4 linked regions of the Macaca mulatta genome follow. The protein of the gene in region 1 interacts with the protein of each later gene in a pairwise test. Links are inferred from orthologs where the notes say so. Each region holds a gene or a part of one and is shown in the gene's direction. Other genes may lie near its edges.

Region 1 (4,024 bases):
GCTGCATACTGTATGATTCCAACTATATGCGATTCTGGAAAAGGCAAAACTATGGAGACAGTAAAAGGAGCAGTGGTTGCCAGTGGTCAGGGGACTGAGAAGGATGAATAGGCAGAGGACAGAGGATTTTCAGGGCAGTGAAACTATCGTGGATGATACCATAATGGTGGATACATGTCATTATATATTTGTCAAAACCCACAGAATGTGCAACACCGAGAGAAAATGCTATTGTAAACTATGGACTCTGGGTGATAATGATGTGTCAAAGTAGGGTCATCAATTGTTACCAAATGTACCACTGTAGCACAAGATGTCCATAAGGGGACAAGTTGTGTGTGTGTGTGCCTATGTGTACAGGGGATATATGGGAACTCTCTACTTTCTGTTCAATTTTGCCCTGAACCAAAAACTGCTCTAGAAGTGTTGGTTAATAACAGTAAAAGACAAAGACCCCTTCTGACCTAGGGAATCTCTGGTGATGGATGGGGAGGGCGAAGTAGTCCCCTAGAAAGTGGAAATTTTACAAAGTTCTTCAACTGATTTTGTAGAGCTAGGTTTGGAACTGCTACCCTACTCTATGCTACTCGCCCAAGTAGTGGTTCCCAAACCAGGTGTCAGGCTTCAAGGCCATGCAATATTCCTCATTACACTGTCTTGGCCCCAAACACATGCTTTCCCCTCTCCCTACAAATCAAGACTCTAAAATGCCAAGGGTAGAAGAGCAGTACTTTCCCGTGTACTGAATATGGGGGAAGGGAGAGCAGTCAAGCATGGACTGGCTATTCTAAGCCCCAAATGGGCTGAAGCTGATAACGCTTTGAAGATCGACCACGGCAGAAATATCTTGTTTTCTTTAATCCATCAGGGGGTTGTCCCACTTATTGAGTCCCACAGCTGCGGTATAGCACGGAGGGGGCCTCCCTGAAAGTCCTCCGCTCCAGCTCTCCGATTGGCGCTGGGGGAACAGGAGGGGAAGCGGAGGCTTTGCATCGAGCCTGCAACACGGGGCCCGGGCATCGAGGCCGAGGAGTCGTGGGTAGAGCCCCGATTTCAGCCAAGATGGCATAGGACGTAAGTAAGCGTGGAAAGCAAAATGGCTACGCAAGCGCAATTCTGTAAGGCCGAAGGGACGTTCTTCCAACCTCTTAAATTTCCCGGGCGCCACGCCCCTCAGTTGCTTGCCCTGGATTCCAAGGTGTCGCGCGGGAAGTGACCTCACGGCGGTGGCGTGGAGACGTGGGGGCGCTTCCGGCGGCGGCGGCGGCGGCGGTGACGGCCGAAGCTGTAGGGGTGGGCGTGGAGAGAGTTCTTCTGTGGGTCCTCTGGTATTGCGTGGTCGGCTTGGTGTGGTGTGCGGAGGAGCTCCAGGCCCGTCGGGGCGGAGGTGGGAGCGAAGGGAAGAGGCTGCTGGTGTGTGGACGCTCGTGGGAGGGGGATGCCGGGCTTGCTTTAGGCTTCGGAGTTCCAGGCCTCATAGACCTTTATAGAGGAAGGCAGGCAAGAGCTGGGGGCTTCATCGGGTTCGCAGGGGGCCAGGTACTATGGGCGGCCGCAGGAGTTTGGTTTGAGGTGGGAGGCTGAGGACTGCAGGATTCTAAATAGTACGGGGATTGTGTGAGGCGTGAGGCATTAGCTGCTTGGGCCCTTAGTCCAGCCTTGTTGGTGGCTGCTGTAGTTCATTGGCTCACTGATTTCTTCATGCCTCAGTTTCCCTTTGCATAATGAGATATGGTGGCAGAGAAGAACGCCAGTGCCACATCCATGACTAATAGCTTGAGGACAGAGGTGAACTGGAGGGTAGAAAAAGAGGATGCCTGAGAAATTTATACTTACCAGGTCACATCTTCTGAATCCCAGGAAGTTATCCCTGGATTCATTTCTGCCTTTGGTGCAAGTCTGTGGTTCTTATCAGTACTCTTTGTGTGATATTGATTGTATTTATCAATACTTGACTTGTTGAGTGGCTAAAGTGTTTTGGTTTGTGGGAGGCATAGCCCTTGTTGGCTTGGTCAATTGATTTTCAATTAATCTCCCAGTAGCAATTGCTTCGCCTAACTCTGCAATTGGGATATTAGTTGAAAATCAACTGACCAAGCCAACAATCTTCTCCTCTGGTTACAGATAAGGAACTCACGACCCAGAATGGTTTTTCTTTTCTTCCCTAGCCACAGACCAAACCGATTTCAGTCTGCTGTCTCAAATACAGGTCTTCACCCCACCAAAACAGAAATGGCTGTCTCCAAGCAGTTTAGTATTTCAGCTGGACACCCAGATGGATCCTAATCTTTTTTTTTTTTTTTTTTAATGAATGGCAGATTAGGTGTACTGAGCACAAAATTCTCTTAGCTGGTTTCTCTGTATGATGTAAAAATGGTTGTAAAAACATGACTTTTTGTTTATTACCAAATTCTTGGTAGAGCTTCCTTGGCATAGGGTTATGGGGCTAGAAAAGTGTCTCAAAATTTTTGACCTGTGACCTGCAGTTAGATATATTTTACATCACGACATTACTCATTGTGCCCCTGCACACTCAGTGTCTACACACACACACAGCCCCACCCACCGATGAAAAGTTTACTTACCCTTTCTACAGAAGATGCATTCTAAAAAAAAATTGGTTGCAACGCACTAAATTGTGTCTGAGCCCTAATAGGTCGTGAGGTATAGTTTGAAAAATATTAAGGGCGGGCACTGTGGCTCACGCCCGTAATCCCAGCACTTTGGGAGACTGAGGCGGGTGGATCACCTGAGGTCAGGAGTTGGAGACCAGTCTGGCCAACATGGTGAAACCCTGTCTCTACTAAAAATATAAAACTTAGCTGAGTGTGATGGTGGGTACCTGTAATCCCAGCTACTTGGGAGGCTGAGGCAGGAGAAACTCTTGAATCCAGGAGGCAGTGAGCCAAGATAGTGCTATTGCACTCCAGCCTGGGCAACAAGAGCCAAACTCTGTCTCAAAAAAAAAAAAGAGAAGAAAAATATTAGACTAGGGCCGAGTGCAGTGGTGAGAGGATTGCTTAAGGCCAGCCTGGGCAACATAGCAAGACTCTGTCTCTAAGAAAAACAACATTAGAAAATGCTTAAAATCTTTGCCATTTGTGAGATTCTGTAATTAATACATTATCATTTTTCTTTCTTTTTTTTTTTTTTTTTTTTTTGAGACGGAGTCTCGCTCTGTCGCCCAGGCTGGGGTGCAGTGGCCGGCTCTCAGCTCACTGCAAGCTCGGCCTCCCGGGTTTACGCCATTCTCTTGCCTCAGCCTCCCAAGTAGCTGGGACTGCAGGCGCCTGCCACCTCGCCCGGCTAGTTTTTTTGTATTTTTTAGTAGAGACGGAGTTTCACCCTGTTAGCCAGGATGGTCTTGATCTCCTGACCTCGTGATCCGCCCGTCTTGGCCTCCCAAAGTGCTGAGATTACAGGCTTGAGCCACCGCGCCCAGCCTCATTTTTCTTTTCTTATTCAGAGAAGGGCTTACTAGATTTCTCCTAAATTCAGCCAGAACAGCAGGACAGGACATCCAAATTGTGTCTCAAAGGAGTATAGTGACCATAATGATAGTGTGTCAGAATTTTAGCAAGGCATTTATGAAGTCTTTTTTTTTTTTTTTTTTGAGATGGAGTCTCATTCCATTGCCCAGGTTGGACAGAGTACAGTGGCACAATCTCTGCTTACTGTAACTTCCGCCTTCTAGGTTCAAGCGATTCTCCTGCCTCAGTCTTCCAAGTACCTGGGATTACAGGCATGCGTCACCACGCCTGGCTAATTTTTGTATTTTTAGTAGAGATGGGGTTTCACCATGTTGGCCAGGCTGGTCTCGAACTCCTGACCTCAGGTGATCCACCCATCTCAGCCTCCCAAAGTGCTGGGATTACAGGTGTGAGCCACTGCGCCTGGTCTTACTAAGTCTTATGATAACCGAGTGGGTGAGATGGAGGAATTTGCCAGATTGTGGTAGAATTAGATGGAGTCATGAGTTTGAGCATCTGTGTATGGAGATTTGATTTGTGAGCACTACTTGCAG
Region 2 (2,967 bases), on another chromosome or scaffold:
GTATACACACACACACACACACACAAAGTGGCTTATCTGCAAGATCACACTGTGAGTGATCCAGTGTTCTTTTCATTGTTTACGGAAGAAACAGTAACCAAGCAGCCAGTATAGCTACCAGTTTGTATTTTAAAAATTGGGTTCTTTAGGCGGCAGTTCACGCCTGTAATTCCAGCACTTTGGGAGGCTGAGGTGGATGGATAACTTGAAGCCAGGAGTTTGAGACCAGACCAGTCCGGCCTATATGGCGAAACCCGTCTCTCCTAAAAATACAAAAATTAGCTGGGCGTGGTGGCATGTGCCTGTAATCCCAGCTACTCGGGAGGCTGAGGCATGAGAATCACTCGAACCTGGGAGTCAGAGGTTGCAGTGAGCAGAGATTGCGCCACTGTACTCCAGCCTGGGCAACAAAGTGAGACCCTGCCTTAAAACAAATAAAATAAAAATAAAAATTGGGTTCTTAAGAAAGTATAGGAGGATCTATCACTGTATTAATGCTGCATGACAACTCCTGAAATTTCAGTGGTTCACAAGAAGGCACATTTCTTTTTCTTTTCTATGGGCATGTAGGTCAGTGAAGCATGGCTGGATTCAGCTAAGCTTGGCTCTTAGTCTGCAAGTCCAGCCTGGTCTGATCCCCCTTGGTCATTCTAAAAACAACGGCATCCTGGGCCATGTTCTTTTCATGGTGATGGCAGAGGCACAGAAGGCCAAGCCAAATGATGCCAGCACACTAGAGCCTCTGTTCATGATATGTCTGCTAACAGTACATAGGTCAAAGCCAGTCATGTGGCCAACCACATATCAAAGGAACAGGAAAATATACTCTTCTTACTCCACGGGAGGTTCTGCAGAGTCATATGACAAAGAGTGTGGGCACGTAATTCTTATACAGGGAGGGAATGAAGAATCAAGAACAAGTATCCAGTCTACCACAAAGTCTTTATGAACCTGAAGTAGATGGTAGAAATTTTCCCTTTGAAAATAAACTTCGGTGTTGAATTTTCAAAACTGTACTTTGAAATGTGGTTCTAATCATATCCATTTTTGTTTTTTTTTTTCTAGAGATGTGAAGATATCTGGCTTGGCATGCCATCACCTATTCCTGCGAAATACATTGACTACTTGACCCTTTTGAAGGATGTGTTTGGCTTAGAGGAGGAATAACCATGCCAGTTTTGGTCAATTCTCTTTGATTTACTTCTCTCATTTTGCCACATTTACTTTAGTAGATATAATTTCATTAAAAACAAAAAAGAAACAAGGTTTATATTAAATGGAAATCCACAAATCACAATTAATCCTATTTTGTCATGTTAGTTTTTCAGAACATCATGTTATATTTCTGCCGTACTGTTACTATTTAAAATGCCATCTTAAAACATGTTGAATATTTTTATTATATGTATATTTTATTAATACCAAAAAATCTTCTGATAATTTTTCATCCAACGTAATTTGATTCATTAGTATATGAACAGAAAATAACTTCTGAAAGTTATACATGACAATACAAAATCAAATTATATCACAGCAATAAGTTGTGATTCTATTAAATATTTTTGAAACCTTTTTGACACATTTATTACTTATATAGTTAAGTTTTGTAGCAACCCACCTCATCAAAATAATTCTTAAACCTCTCTAGAGTAAATATGTTTATTTTTTAAACTTAGTAAAGCTATGGGAAGAAAAAGAACCTCCCCAAAACATACACACACACACACACACACACACACACAGGAAACATATGCAGTATTTATATTTGTAATGCCCTTTTTTCTATCTAAAGTCAGCTTGTTAGCTTAGGAATATATGCATGTGTATATAATTATAGTTTGACCAAAAATTTATTATGTCTAAAATATTTACAAATGTGAAAGCTGAAGATTTTGAGATTTTTTTTTTTTTGGTTTGTTTTACACACACATCCCACCCGCCCCACCCTAGAGGTTTAAATATTCAGAAACTACAACATTTTTCCCCTGCATTTTTCTAGTTCTATTTTTATTTTTCTTCAGCAGAACTCTTGTCATGTAGTATACATTTGATTAAAACCCATAGCCATGTACCTCTGGGAATTCAGTGTAAGAAGTCTATCCCCGTCTATCCCATTGTTCAATGTGGGGTGCTATGTATCATAAATCCATTTGCCTGGTGTTCTGGGAGACAATGGAGGTCTCTCAAGAAGGAACTGCAGGGACTACTCTGAGAAGAAGAGGAGCTGATGACATCTCAAGGGACCCTTCGGACTCATTATTCTTTCACTCCACATTTGCAGCAGTGTCTTGCTGGCTTCTTGGCACTCAAATGTACCAATTTACTCTTGACAACAATGGCCCTTTCATTTTTAAAAAATTGAAGTTAATCAATAAACGATTTCTATATATAAACCTAGAATAATTCCACACGTGCTATTGTTAGAATAGATGCTCCCCCCCAACCCTTTCAGGACTTAACACTAAACTAGTATACTCAATTTATATACCAAAACTATCTACCATAAATCCTAAATTTGACTACTTGATTTTTGTCCCAGGTTTTTTTTAAGGCAACTGACAGTGCCAAGCCATTTTGTCACTTTAAGATTTTTCATTCCCCAGAGAGCAAGCTTTTAGAAGGATGACACTTTCCTGGAACTTTTCAAGCTGACACATTCGTCACTTACCTATTCAACTCTTCAGTCAGTTGTCTTTCCTTCAAGAGTTTAAATATGTAGATAATTTAGCCCTTGTAAAGGCTTATAATGTAGTTCATTTGAGAAGCTGGGGGAGAAAAAGGAAGCAAACCAATGACAATGCTCCTGAGTTTGTGGGGTGACAACTGCTTATTCTATTGCATAGATGTGTGTTACTGCTCTGGTTGTTTCTGGTTCAAGCCCACAATTAGCAATGAAATGGCCATTATAGGATTCATGCCGATAAACATGATACATTGCAGCCATACAGACATTTTAAATAATTATTC
Region 3 (3,571 bases), on another chromosome or scaffold:
ACCCCCATATTAGAAAGAAAAAAAAAAAGATATATATTTGGGGAAAAGATAATACATAGACTAGCTCTGTAAAATAATGTTTTTCATTACCTCTGTTGTTTTATTACTGCATGGGTGGTTGTCTTTTATGACTGGTTCTGTCCTCTTTCCCAACCCCCAGAAGTTCTAGATTTTGTACAGTGTCTTGTTTGAGAGTTCTTTAGAAAGCTTGGATTATGCATAATGGCATATTTTTTATTTTTAACTTATTCAAAAATTCATTATGTTTAAGATTGGTTTGCAAATTGCAACTGTTTTGTTAGGCAGCTTCTGGGGCCTAAAGACAACTGACAGTATATGATAGTCATGGGGTGCTTGTTTTCCTGGATTCCTCTAAGGTCTTACTCTGACAAGGACAGGTTCCTTCCCTTGTTTTCTAAAGCTTGAGTCAGCAGGAGTTATTACTGATATCTGGTCTTCTCCCTTTTTTTTTGCATTGAGTTGCTTTTTAAGGATTGCCTTTCTCCATTGATGCCAATTTAAAATAATTTGTCAAATACTCTTCCAAATTTTGATACAAAGCCTTGAGATCTTATCTAAATGCACTCCATTTTTTTTCTTCTTTTAAGTGTAATTCTTTGATATTTGTACACCAAGCTCTTCTTTCTTAGACACTTTGTTTGTTCGCTGCTATTCATCTTTCTTCTTTTAAAAAGAAAGGGATCGGCCAGACGCAGTGGCTCACGCCTGTAATCCCAGCACTTTGGGAGGCCAAGGCAGGTGGTTCACGAGGTCAGGAGATAGAGACCATCCTAGCTAACACGGTGAAACCCCATCTCTACTAAAAATACAAAAAAATTAGCTGGGCGTGATGGTGGGTGCCTATAGTCCCAGCTACTCGGGAGGCTGAGGCAGGAGAATAGCGTGAACCCAGGAGGTAGAGCTTACAGTGAGCCGAGGTCAAACCATTGCACTCCAGCCTGGGCGACAGAGCGAGACTCTCATAAAATAAATAAACAGATAAATAAATAGGAAGGGATCTTTACCCTCACTCCCTTCATTACTCTTCATTAGCAGTATAAATCTCTAGAAACTCTGTTATTAGAACCTTAGTTTCTATGATATTTGGAAAAGGTACTTTACTGGGTTTATTGTTATCATACAGAGGCACTGATTATAGAAAGTAGGAGATTTAGTGTAGTGGTGGCTGGATTTAATACAATTCACGGAGTCTAATATGGTACTGATTCTAATTAAATGAGACGCAAGAAACTGTGTTTGGAAAATGTGAGACTATTTTGTGTACCTTGGATAAAGGTATACCAGGATGTCAGACTATCACTTTGCAGAGATTACTTCGTATAGTAGAAGCTTGGATTTGGAGTCAAAAAACCTGAAACTGAATCCGAATTACATTATTTGTAACTCATTATTTGTGTGACCTCAGGCACAGTCCTTAATCATTCAAAGCTTGTCTTCTAGTCTGTAGAATAGTGTTAACACCCCATATATATCGTAGAGAAACAAACGAAAAACTATGAAATGTTAGGTACATGTGAAGAGTAAGGGATCATATACCGAATCCCTCTGATACGGGAACCAAGGATGTTTCCTATTGTAGGATTCAAGGCATTTTCTGTCTAACTCAGGAGCACTATGTAAAGATCTGTTTGGTGCAAGAAAAACCATTATTGTAATGATGGGCAGCCATTATAGCCAATCCAATGGAATGATATTTCATTCAGCAACTGTGTGTCTATATTGGGATGTATGTGTGAAAAAAGTAAGACAAAAGCTCCATTTGCATGGGGCTTACATCCTAGTGGGGGCAGGACAATTAATATTAAAAATAAGTAGTATGGATAAAAGAGAAAGGTTAGAGGTATTGAGCTTGGGAACATTAAAAAGGGTAGTTCAAGTAGGCCTCATGAAAAAGGTGACATCTGAACAAAGGCTTGCAGGAGATGAGATAGCTGTGCAGCTTCTGGGGCAGTAATCCAGGAAGAGGTCTTTAGGTAGAAGCACACATGCAGAGAGAGTGGCAAGGAGCCCAGTGTGGCTGGAGAGGAGGAGGTGGGGAAGAGCCATAGGAAATGAAGTCAGAGGGGGAATACATCAGGTGGGGCCTTGGTGGCCTCAGTAAGGACTTTGACCTTTACTCTGAGAGACTGTCTTTGGAGACTTCTCATCAGAGGAAGAATATAATCCGACTTAAATGTTTTGTTTACAGGTGTAAGTGCTTGATAATATTGTATGTTCTAACGTATTCTTTTCTGAAATGAAAATAAAGCACATAGTAGATAACATTTCTACAGATTAAATGGTAACTGCATATTTTTTTTTCCTTCTATTAAATCTAAGGTCAGCTTCCCCTTACCATGGTTTTACCATTGTGAATCGACTAAATATGCACAATCTAGTTGAACCAGTGAATAAAGATTTGGAATTTCAGCTCCATGAACCATTTCTTCTGTATAGAAATGCAAGCTGTGAGTATATCTGTTTTATTATAGTTATTACATTTAAAATCGAGTGACTTTAGTTTCTATCAATCCATTATTTAGTAAGTTTCAAATTACAAAACAAAATATGGCCTATACTTTATGATTATAAATGAGTCTGTTAGAAAGATCAGACGTTTTAAACTGGGCTCTGAGACCAGACGTGGTGGCTCACGCCTGTAATCCCAATACTTTGGGAGACCGAGGAGGGCGGATTACCTGAGGTCAGGAGTTCGAGACCGCCCAGGCCAACATGATGAAACCCCATCTCTACTAAAAATACAGAAAAAAATTAGCCGGACTTGGTGGTGGGCACCTGTAATCACTTGAACCTGGCAGGTAGAGGTTGCAGCGAGCCGAGATCGCGCCATTGCACTCCAGCCTGGGCAACAGAGTGAGACTCTGTCTCAAAAAAATAAATAAATATACTGGGGTCTGAAACTAGAAACATTCTTTTGTATATAATTTTGTTTACTATTTCGTTTACTAGCACTACATTTATGTTGTTGGTTTATTAAAATAAGGTTTATGCCTTTGTTTTTTTGCAGCTGTGGACTATCAGCTGCCCACATCCCTGAGCAACAGAACTTAGTTTGGGACACACAGGATGGGAGCAGATACAGATAATTCTTTCCACAAAGAAAGTATTATTTTTGCCCAGAATAGTGGTGGTGGGGTTTTTTTAAAAGATATTTATTACTTTTTCTACTTTATTTTGTCTGAATATGTTTCTAAGTAGGGTTTTTCTATCTGTTTATTTAATTGAGTGTCTGCTGGTTACCAGCACTGAGCCAAGAGCTATGGTGCTTTAATGTTTGTAACCTATGTGCTATAGGGAGGCAGTTAAGGCAACTAAGACTCAGAGATGCAAAACTATTACTCTGTTGGAGAGTTAGGATTATAACTCTTCTGCTTTTTAGTCCAGGGTTCTTTCAGGCATTTTTACAGCCTCTAATGATAATTGGATGCAGTCAGCAAAGCTAGATTGGCCCTTCCAAGAAACTACAGTACTAAAAAGTGTACTTGATTCCAGTGTGTTGGTATGGATATTGAAGGTATGGGTGTTTGAGGACAGTTTGTTCTACATTGAC
Region 4 (3,571 bases), on another chromosome or scaffold:
CAAATACTGAGCATTTTAAAAATTATCTCTGTATTTGATGGAGTACTTATTCAAATATATTAGCTATTTCTTACTAGGTATATTATATGTTGTCTTGCAAAAATGTATAGTAAATATAGTTTAACCAGTCAATACTGCATCAAGGTCATTATTATTGATGTCATGATTTCTGCAATATTGATAGAACCTTATTGGTTTTAGAGAGTGCACTCATGTTAGTTTGCCCTTTGTTTATTCCCTAAACTACAATATCTTTCTTTTTCTTTTATTAAAAACAAATTTTGTTTTTTCTATATAAAATACACAAATGGCTGAAAATTTTCAACAGATGGCCTACCCTACCCCAATCCCACATCTGGACTTTACAAGTCAATAAGAGACATTACCTGTCTTAATGATAATCATATAATAATAATGAAAAGGCATCTTCTTGCTTCTAATTTTGAGTAAGAATGGATGAGAACTAAAGTTGCCTGGGATAGTCATATAACTAAGTTCTTGAAATAAGGAATCTTAATTTATCACAATTCTAAATTAGTAAACTCTAGTCTATAACCATAAAGTTGATTTCATCTTTCTCAGAATGTTCTTTATAGATACTTTGACTGCTATTTTAATCATCACGGAGAGGACTTTTACACTTAATTCTCATATTTAAGCTCTAGTAGGAAGTTTGTTGTTGACATAAGCCTATATGTCCTAAATAACTGGTCCATAAATAATGGCTTGCTGTGTGCTTCCTCTCAATTTAAATCAGCAGTGAGTTAGTGGGTCTCACTGGAGGTGGCATTTGTTCCCCAGGAGAAGAGAATAATAACAGGTCTTTGAAGTTCAAGATTTATGATGACTCTACTAAGAGTATCTATATTTGTTTCAATGGTATTTATAATAAACAGAATTGGTAGCAGTAGTACTTTTAATTATTTTATGGAAAATATGGATTTTTAGTATGTGTAACAATCTAATTAATATTTATATTATACATTTATAATATTTTCAAAATCTCCTTTGAATTACATCAATTTGTTGAAGTTTTTCAGGAATTTCAAAATATTTCTGGGCAAGACATGGTAGATGCCATTAATGAATGTTATGATGGATACTTTCAGGAGCTGTTGGTTGCAATTGGTAAGTAATAAATTATTTGAAGTACAGCAGACATTTTATTTCTTAATAAATGCTGAGCGGCTCTGAATGAACTAAAGACACATGAGTAAGCTCTTGATCGAGTCATTTTTTTCCCTTGAATTTTATTATTTAAAAGGATGTAAACTCCATAGTGGAAGAGTACATCAGTTACTAATAAAATGCACTAAACTGGCAACCTGATGACTTTAATGAACTGATACCCCCCCAACAGCTAGTTCAACTTTCATACCAGAAAAACACATCATTCTCAGGTATTTTCTCTTCGGAATTGGCTTCTCACACTGTTCAATCCATTTTATCTTTACTGACTTCCATTCCCTTGCTCAAGAGCAGATAAATACTTAACAGTGTGCTTCTCTTCTCTTTAGGAGGTAAAGGATTTTTTAGTGACCATTACTAACAAATTTTGGTTTAGGAGTAAATCCTACCATAAAAGAGATTTACTAAGTAGTGATTTTCCTCAGGCTATTGTGATAGTGGCACACCTCTTGCTCCTTCCTAAGAAATAATATCCCTCCATAGAGGACAAAACAGGGCTACTTATCCAGAAAAACTGCAATAGAACTACCTGTGCAATAGAACTACCTTTGTCTTGTACTGTGCTGTGAGCTGACAGCACACATTTCAGGGACGACCAAAGGGGGTCATTGTGAAATATCTCCATCGAAGGCACAGTCAAGTAATCACCTAGATACTAGTTGAATAAATGAATATTGTGATTTTCCATCCTTGAATGGCAGAAGCATACATGAGTGTGACAGTTGAGAGATAAAGGAACTTTTGCAGCTTATCCAGTAAAGAAGTCTCAAGCTAGGGTTCCATGAAAACAGTTTGATGAAGCCCCTAAAATAGTATGCAAGAAATGACTATTAATAACTGTGTATTTTTTTCTGAGGATGTCACATTTATTCCAGAAAATTCTCTACAAAATTTAATAACCACATACCACATCAAAATCCTTCACTTTATAAACAATGCCTAAGGAAATTAACTGACTGCCTCAAAGCCGATCAGCTGATTAGCAACCAAGTTATGACTAAAACTCATAATATCCGAATCTCAAGATAGCTTTCTTTCCACTATAGACCCCTGCCACAAAGCAGTGGGCATAAGAGAGGAAGTGGTGGACATTATAAATGGCAGAAAACATTTCAACTGATTTATTCACTCAGTAGACATTTATTGAGCACCTACTGTTCTAGACACTGACTTAGGCACGACAGATAGAACAATGAAACAACAGAAACAGCAAAAGTCACTGCCTTCAAGGAGGTTATAAAGACTATGACTCAAGAGTGATTATGATGTTTCATGTATTAAAAATGAAAGAAAAGATGAGGGTATAATCTCACAACCTAAAATCATTACTTAAACTACTAGGGAAACACTGTTATGATGATTTCATTCTGGCTAGAGATTATAGCCTCTCATACATTACCCATTCATGTATTAATTTGTTAGCCTATTCAAATAAACATTACTGAAAGTTTATGATCATCAGCTGACTTCCAGCAAGGATAACTGTTGACCATTCTCTAGGCTGTTCTAATGCCTTAGCAGTTTTTATTAGATGACTTCTAAAACTGTTCTACACCAGTTGTGGTCCATACAGTTTCTCCTTCAGAGACTTCAGGTCTACTCACAAATCTGTAAGTTACTAAAAATAGTATTCAAATAGATGAACAAATTACATGGGAGCTATATCATATTGAATCCTACAATGATGATAATAATAATCTATAATAGTGGTAATAACCTAGGTTTCTTTGAAGCTCTTTTGATTTAATTTTCAGATAAAGATGATAAAGTTTTCTTCATTAGGCTACATGAAGGAACTAATAAGAGTTCCAACAGATAGAAATAGATCAAGTGAAAATCTGCATGACTCATTATAATGTTGTTGCTTTATATTTTTTTCCTGTGGCTTATAGTGTTACCATTATTGTAAGTGTTGACATTATAATACAATGTAAGAATTGTAACAGGAAAAGTGCTATTGTTTCTCAAATTCTGACGAAAATGTATGTTTTCACTCTCAATGTTTCTTCTCTCTGATTTCTCCTAGTTCTCTGTGTTCGAGACAAACCAGCCTATTTTGCTTATAGATTATATAGTGCAATTCATGTAAGTAAGACTCATATATTTTTAAAATTTCTCCAGAAATTGTGTCTGTTTGTCAAAGGATAAATTTACTTCCATCATTTAAATGTTCATTACCATTTTTGAACTTGTATGTACAAAGAAAATACACCCAAGTGAAAAACAAAATGGTTTAGACACCAAAAATAAGACACATCCAATAAAAATAATGCTCTGCCTTCTGTATCAAATTTAGGGAACCATATTTGGGGTATATATCCCCGTGTACTTTAGAGGTTATTTAACATCTGCAGAAACTGGTAAATTCAAATGTCTTTGTATA

What was found.
Region 2: the proteins of EDC3 (region 1) and EFHC2 interact in binary tests that used the Homo sapiens proteins (3 or more experiments, as listed by UniProt). The link is inferred for Macaca mulatta from reciprocal best matches to the Homo sapiens genes EDC3 and EFHC2.
Region 3: the proteins of EDC3 (region 1) and DCP1A interact in binary tests that used the Homo sapiens proteins (3 or more experiments, as listed by UniProt). The two-hybrid records come from large-scale screens. The link is inferred for Macaca mulatta from reciprocal best matches to the Homo sapiens genes EDC3 and DCP1A.
Region 4: the proteins of EDC3 (region 1) and ANXA10 interact in binary tests that used the Homo sapiens proteins (3 or more experiments, as listed by UniProt). The link is inferred for Macaca mulatta from reciprocal best matches to the Homo sapiens genes EDC3 and ANXA10.

What each region holds. Positions count from the first base shown.
Region 1 is NC_133412.1:52,627,383-52,631,406, reverse strand, and holds the start of EDC3 (enhancer of mRNA-decapping protein 3), read left to right. Parts: upstream 1-1,218; 5' UTR 1,219-1,387; exon of another isoform or gene 1,388-1,413; intron 1,414-4,024. UniProt on the Homo sapiens protein: Binds single-stranded RNA. Involved in the process of mRNA degradation and in the positive regulation of mRNA decapping. May play a role in spermiogenesis and oogenesis.
Region 2 is NC_133426.1:44,120,531-44,123,497, reverse strand, and holds the end of EFHC2 (EF-hand domain-containing family member C2), read left to right. Parts: intron 1-1,065; coding exon 1,066-1,167; 3' UTR 1,168-2,397; downstream 2,398-2,967. UniProt on the Homo sapiens protein: Microtubule inner protein (MIP) part of the dynein-decorated doublet microtubules (DMTs) in cilia axoneme, which is required for motile cilia beating.
Region 3 is NC_133407.1:116,924,852-116,928,422, reverse strand, and holds part of DCP1A (mRNA-decapping enzyme 1A), read left to right. Parts: intron 1-2,279; exon of another isoform or gene 2,280-2,299; coding exon of another isoform or gene 2,300-2,340; coding exon 2,341-2,468; intron 2,469-3,571. UniProt on the Homo sapiens protein: Necessary for the degradation of mRNAs, both in normal mRNA turnover and in nonsense-mediated mRNA decay. Removes the 7-methyl guanine cap structure from mRNA molecules, yielding a 5'-phosphorylated mRNA fragment and 7m-GDP.
Region 4 is NC_133410.1:176,692,781-176,696,351, forward strand, and holds part of ANXA10 (annexin A10), read left to right. Parts: intron 1-1,032; coding exon 1,033-1,128; intron 1,129-3,214; coding exon 3,215-3,273; intron 3,274-3,571.